2 linked regions of the Caenorhabditis elegans genome follow. The protein of the gene in region 1 purifies or fractionates together with the protein of each later gene. This does not show direct contact. Each region holds a gene or a part of one and is shown on either strand. Other genes may lie near its edges.

What was found. The genes of interacting proteins can lie anywhere in the genome.
Region 2: the proteins of F09C6.11 (region 1) and ist-1 fractionate together in Caenorhabditis elegans (co-fractionation; one large-scale study listed by BioGRID). This does not show direct contact.

Annotation. Positions count from the first base shown.
Region 1 is NC_003283.11:16,881,468-16,884,108, reverse strand, and holds F09C6.11 (Transposase), read left to right. Parts: upstream 1-1,798; coding exon 1,799-1,900; intron 1,901-1,944; coding exon 1,945-2,055; intron 2,056-2,102; coding exon 2,103-2,123; downstream 2,124-2,641. Other genes in the region: F09C6.12 (Flagellar rod assembly protein/muramidase FlgJ), read right to left, coding at 967-1,083, 1,130-1,231.
Region 2 is NC_003284.9:7,124,785-7,129,676, forward strand, and holds the start of ist-1 (IRS-type PTB domain-containing protein), read left to right. Parts: upstream 1-1,866; coding exon 1,867-2,081; intron 2,082-4,892.

The DNA of each region.
Region 1 (2,641 bases):
TGCCGCACATCACGCGCTTTTCTCTCAAACAAAAAATTTTTTGTAAAAAATTTTTTATCTAAGAACTTGTTCTTTACAAAAAGGTTAACAACTTTTTAGTTGATGACTTTTCTGTAAAAAAAATTATCCGCGGAGATATGCGCTACCGAAGTGAAATCGGAAAATTGGCAGTCGGAAAAATTCTGGAGTTTTGCCGCTAAAAATTCACGAGTAACCGTTTCAAGACATGGGCTATCGAATGGCATAGAACTCTTGTGCAACTCCAATGGGCACCTTCTGACGGTTCCCTAGTTAGACATGTTAGATGGGTCGAGTGGGTCAACCTATCTAAAAAAGACCGGATTCCCCAATCCGCATTCCGGTCCGGAAAAAAAGACATTCATTTCAAACAACATTTGCAGAGAATTTGTTTGATCCAGCAAAAAAGGAGCAAGACTAGCTTGTTTTTTTTCCTTTTTTTGAACAGGTGTTCCATCAAACCGGTGTGTTATGTTAGAAAAATCATTTCTCGCTCGTTTCCAAATTGCCGTTTGATAATATAAAAATTCAGGATTCTTTTTGAAATTTGCCGGAAAATGTTATTTTAACATTTCGTATAAAACTAATTATTTTAATTTCAAATAAACAAGAGAAAATAGCGATTTGTCGAGTTTGCCATGCGTGACAAATTTTTTTAATACGGTTTGTCGAATTAACTGTAGTTCTTGTGAATTCAACTTCCAATGTAAGTAGTCTAGCCAATCTCTTTGGAATGCTATAACCGTGACACCGTCCAAAGTAACTATATAGGTACAACTTCTGGGCCTGCGCGAGGTTTCAAAAATGTAACCCGCTCAAGCAAACCTTGCCACAATTTTATAAGTGATGATTTTCATTTACAAGTTATGCATTTTCACAAAAAAAAGTATAAGAAATTGAAATAAAAACATGTAGCAGCCCATTCCATGAGATTAATTACAATGAATTTCATTTTTGTTTACCATCGCCATTCATCGAGTTAGCCATCTTCATCAATAGAACTTTTTTGAATTGCTCGTCGGTAGCTTTGCATAATTCCGTCGACATGTATCCGCCGCGAATAAACTGAAAGCATGAAAGCATTTAGCAATCACTTTTTCCGAGAACCCACCTGTCTATTGTCCTGCGAGTTATTATCAAGGTTTTGCTTGTCAATATTTTTGTTTCCCACGTTCACTGTGGTATCGACTTCTGCATCAATAGCCCAACCCATGATTTTTTCTGTAAAACATTAGATTAAAAACGAATGATATAGATTTCGAACGGCACTGAACGGTAAGGGTTGCGGGCTGAGTATTTATAGAAAAATAAACTGAGCAAGAATGAGCAAATAATAATGAAAAATTAGCCTGTCTTATGAAAACAAACTATGATGGGTTGGTCTGCCGCTGTGTACACATCCTAAAGCTGAATGCGCAATGACGTTTAAAACAAACTACATTTTATTTTCAATAGACTCACTCAAAATTTGGTCTCGCCAGTTTTCGAGATGTTATTTGACATTTGGTCTTGCTTACGCACGGTGAGTTGTTTATATCGTTCCTAGAGAACCTTTTTCAAGTTGAAGAGATAACTATTTATTTTTAATACAGAAAAACAAGAGGAAGAGGTTCATTTGTTTACTTATTTTCCGAAGTAAAGTTTGGTCCAAAACGTGTTTCTCAGAGATGAAATAATCCACAAACATTCTCATTATTTACTATTTCTTCCTCATCTTTATCTCGCATAAATACACCTACATGTTCTTCAAGACACTATATTTCCTGTTTTAATTGCAATTATGGGTTGGGCTATCGACGCCAAGGTTACTACCACTACTAATTGCGATAATTATACTGAACGCAGCGGAAGCGAACGGGATAATCGTGTTGACAACAGACAGGTTGGTTCCTCGTGTACGTATTCGCGTAAATTCATATTTCTCAGAGAATCATCCACAACCGCAATGAAAAGGATGAGCAACGAATTGATTCGATTATCGCTCAAACTACACAAGAACATAACGAGCACATGTCGCGTATATTTGGTTTGGCAACGGTAAAAGCTTTATGTTCAGACACAAAATCTGAAAATACTGTTTACAGAAACTGTCCCAGGGAAAATGATTCTGGAGCCTCACTCTACGTTTTAAAATACACAGATATTCATGATTCTTATCCATTTAAAGCAAATATCTATAATTTTGAATAATGAAGCTATGTATATTCTTTGCATTTTTTACATAGGATGATTGACAATACTCAATCTATGTACAATCCTTGATCTACAATAAATGAAACAACGCAGAATTGATCAAGGATACAAAACACCTTTCATCTCAACTTTCTCTTTGTATTTTAGCCATAAAATCAAAAAGTTGAATATGATAACATCGGAAACAATTTATTGCAAGACGGTCCACAAGCTGGAGCCGAAAAGAGGTTCTCGGAAGATGTTGAGAGCATTATTGGTCGTTATTATATCTTTTTATCTCATTTCAGCTGTAGATGAATTTTTTGGAAAAAGAGATACCATTATTAGAAATCAGAGTATTCGATGGATCTTTCTGAATCTTGTCCAGAATAATCTGTTTCAAATATATTTCAAATATACTTGAAATATATTTAAACCAGATTTGGAAATA
Region 2 (4,892 bases), on another chromosome or scaffold:
GTTTTTTGTATTCTTAGAGTTACTATGTTTTTATTGTATGTAAAATAATGCCACTGGAAAGTTTGTCTTAAATTGAAAAACATTGTGTGAAAAAAAGAAGACAACTACAAACTTTTTTTTAGACATACAATTTTGCATGCCGACAACTATTGTAAATTATTCAATATTTCTCAAATATTATCCACGATTTCAATCAAGTTTTTTTTCCGGCATACGTTCTTAATTTCAAGATGTTTAGTTCAAAAAGAGTATACAACATAGGAACTACAAAAAACCTGACAAGAAATGCAAAAAACAAAAGAAATTAAAAGGCTGTTCGAATTACACCAAATATCAAAATAAAACTTTTCAGAGAATTTTGAAAATTTTATAATGATTGTTGCGTTTTAGCACTATAGGTATAGGTATATGTTTCAATAATTTCCTTGATAGCATTTTTACAGTACTTCATTTTGGTTTTTTTTTTCAAAAAGCCCAAAAATAAATTAATTCTGAAAAGTTTTCAACAATTAATTTGAGTTTTCTCGTTGGGCGAAGTAATTGTTTATCATCTCTTAAAATTAGATAAGAGGGTTGATGTAGTTGTTTTATCAGTACGTCAAGTAGGTTCAGTTGCAGTTCATGCCAGTGTTGCATAGTTTTTTCGCATTGAAAAAGAATATACTTGCCTGTAAATTTGAATGCAAGAAAACACTTTTGTAATAAGAATCTGCACGTGCCAAAAGTACTTTTTGCAAAAAAAATCAGACCAATTTAATCCATTCAGTTCTTAACAAATCTTTCATGATGAAGCAGATATTTCACGTGGTTTACCAAAAGTTTTTGAGCGTTTGGCATTTATTCAGAGGTGTGAGCATGACTTATGACGCCTTATATAGTGGAGATAGGATTATAAAAAGTCATGGCAATAATGGAAAAACATATCACATAATAAAAAGTAGAATACGTGGATTTATTTCAATAATTTAATTGTTTTGAAAAAACCAAAAACTGAAAAAAAAGAGTACTGGTCAATCAAACAACGAAACATTCTAATTTCATTTTGTTTTAAAGGAGGGATATTGGCATGAGTTTCGCTTGTAATATTTAGTGTATAAAAGCTAATTTTTGTATAACAGCTAATTTTCGAACGCTGCAACATGAAAGAATTGGTAACCTTAGGGATTCAAGCTAAAATTAGGCAGTTTTGAATTTTGAAATTTTAAAAAGACATACTTTTAAAAAAAATTTTCTGAGAAGTTCATTACGAATTTTGTTGATTTGAGTTTTGTCTATAGAAGCAATATAAGTTAACATTAATAGTTTCTTGATAAAGTTGACAAAATTTCCAACTTTTTAGCTACTGACACCGATAGTGTTCAAACACCTGTTTAATTACTTTTTTTCAAAAAAAAAATCACAAATCTAATCATAATCAATCAAAAAATACTCGTGCTACTGTCTGCTTGATTCAGTACACAAACAGTCAATAAACCGGTGATTTGTCTCTCTATTCAGTGATTTCACGGCAACCAACCACCCACGTGTCCCCAAGTTTCCCAATAAGTTATAATGTTTTAGTGATATGCCCATGCGCTTCCAGAAAGACTAAAATTAAGCAGCAATGGAAAAAAAATGCACAAGCGTCACCTTCGTATCCTTCCTTTCTGCCTACACATGTCCTCGCAAACATTCCTAATCTCCGCCCCGTCTTTTTTCTTTTTGTCGACCAAAACATTTCTCATCTTCTTTTTACATCGCATGTTCCTGTTCAAATCACTTTGACACTTATCTTCATTCCGAAAGGTGATAATATTTTGTTCGCTGTTTATTGTTTTGTTGTTGTGATGCAATGTACGCAAGAATAAAATCAATTTTTTTCAGAAAATGTCTGAAGAAGAAGAATCTACAGATAATTCTGGGAAACCCCCTATAGAACATCCGCATGATAGAGAGGTTAAATCAGAAAAACAATCATCAAATGTGCTTCCTGGAATATTGCGACGAGCTGAATCCACGGATGATGCTCATCAAGTCAGACGATCATCAATGCGACCATATGAATCTTTCGATGGTTTAAAAAATGATGGAATACTGAAAAGGTAATTTTGTGTACATTGCAGTCACATTATATGGTTTCGTTATGATGAAAGACAAAAAAAACGTGAAAAACAACTTGCACATGACCCACGGTTAGAAGATAGTGTGATCAAATGAGGGAAATGAGAGATCAAATAGAGCATAGTCTCCAAATTTTACAGGAAGTGATAAACTTCACGTTTTTTCATATTTTTATTTTACCAGGATTATACTGAGTTCAATGAAACTGAAATTTCATGCAGTCCCTGGAATTAAAATAAATAGCCAGAGAAATTGTTAAATTAGAGTTGAGTTTTCGCGTAATTAAAAAATAATTTTAAAATTTTAAAATAATTTTTTATTGTTCAGGAGGTAAATGCATATTCCGGATACTCAATTTGAATTTAAAACGTGGAATAGCTTGGTGAAATGTGGGAAACCCTTTTCCTGTGATACTAAGATGATGAAATAATAATATAAAACGTTTTATTTCATATTTTCAGAACTGAAACTCTAAAAATGCTTCAGTACTCACTGTTTTCATTTCCGCCAAACCCATAACCCATGTACAATAGAGCGCCCTTGAATAATCTCTTAACTTTGTAATATCATTTTTTTAAATTTTTTTAATAGTATTTTAATACAAAAATGTTAACTAATTAGAAATTTTTTCAGCCTTGAGAAATAATAGAAAAATACAAGGCAAGTTTGAGAGAGCTCTATTCAAATCAAAGTCTGAGAGAAACTAAATGTTTTTTTTTCTAATTTTCAAAATTTATTAAGATGTTAAAACAATTTTTCATAAGCAAATTTTTAACTGATTTTGAACCTTTAAGTTGAAGCTTCAGACCTTGTTCACTATTTCATAAAAAATCGTGTGTAACCTTTAAAAATGTATCCAATGTGCCAGTAAAACATATATTTTTGTAATGGTACGTGCTTGCATTTTCGTTTTTTTTGTTTGATATTCCAAATGTTACAGGTTAGGTTAGAGTAATAGTAGGTTAAAGGTTAGTTATTACAGCCATTTGTAACCGACAAATTGCAAATCCTCTATCTATTAAGAAATCATCATAACTATTTTGTCAGACTCTAGATTTTTAAATCTCAAGTACTGATTCAGACATTCAGTTCAAAAGATTAGTTTCACAGCTTAAGAATATACTTATCTCTTTTGCTTTCACTGACTATATCCTTATCTTAAATTTATCATCAATTTTTTGACTCATCCCAATGAAAAGAGCCTTAAAAGTTTGGGCATGTTCTTTTTTTCTATTTTACAGCTGATAATTTTGTTACTAAAACAACTTAACTTCTATATTTTCTATCATTCTTTTGGTTCTCTTCATTGTCTATTATTTTTCTTTAGTTTTGTAGATTTCAGCTCCACTTGATTCTTTTTTTACTTGAAAATAGTCTCGATGATCATAATATTTGCTTTTCGGAACAAGTGCACTTTGTTTTCACCATTTCCGAATTTTTATTGTTAAAGTACAGTAAAGTAACATCTCTTCTGTTAGCTCGATTGTGTTCGCATGACTGCACAATGCTCAGGTGACCGAGCAAAACTAGCTGAAAACGCTTTTCAGGTCTATTCAAGTAGAAATCTGAGATGTAGAGAAAAAAATATATCTCCTCAGTTTTCAAAATTTTGAGTTTAAGAAAAGTTTTGATAACTTTTATTATTAATTTTGAACCCCTTGTTGTTTACACTCTATATTTCCTTTTTTCCTTTTCTCAGAACACCATCCGTACTTAATGGATGTGAGACCCAGCACGAAGGACATATAGAAATTTCAAGTGAGAGTAAGCAAAAGTGTTTTTTGGCTTCCCAAAGCTTATTCACGCAGCTAACAATTGCTCTTTCACCCACCTTTGGTTAATCCATCCTAATCTGATCGCATGGAGGGAATGAGGTGGGATGATTAGTTGGCATCGGGGAAAAAACAGTTGAAAATGAGGAATAAATCGGATTAGTTGTCATGGAAAGCTTGGGAGATATGCGAGGATTCGGGTTGGATGAATAACATATAGTGTGTGACGTCTTGTAAGATATCATCAGTTTTTGTTTTTGCCAAATTAGCAATTTCTTTGAATTTTTTCTACATTTGAACATTGCTCTAACGAACATCATTTTTCGTTTATTTTCTAACACACCTCTCTAGGCCGTTGATCTTTGAAATTGTTTATTGTACTTGTTTTGATAACCAAAAATCGGCGAGGAACCAAAACCAAGCCAATAAAAAAATATTGGCACGGTGTTATTTCAAATGCATTTCGGTTTCAAACTATTTTCCATATATTCATTTCAGTATTATGTATATCGGCACCGGTAACGGTCAAAATCGGCTATTAAAGCTCAAAATAAAAATTGAAAAAAAAAATCGCTTTGTATGTTTTCTACATTTGTTCAGTTTTTCAGTTCACAATTTTTCAACTTTTTTTTTGATTTCTCGGTTTTCATAAAATCAAAAATCGTACCCTTTTGTAATATGTTTTACTAAGAGTTCTCTAAAATATTATTTTTCTAATTTATTTGATTTTCAGTAGCAATTCAATTATCTGTTAAGCAAAATTGAATTTTTAACCTTTCTCATCATTTTCAAATGTTTAACCGTTCTCCCGCACAAGGTATTTCACAAAAGTAAAATGAGACCAAGCAGTTTCTCTTCGTTTTAAAACAAAGCCATCTATTCGAACATCACTATGAAAGAAAAAACCGAGAAAAACAAGGTTGTCTCTCAAAATCTAACACAGACGCACGTGCCCTCCCGTTCATCTGCTCTTCTCCGCTTATTTTCTTTCCCGGCCTTGTTGTGTCTATTTCTCTTGTT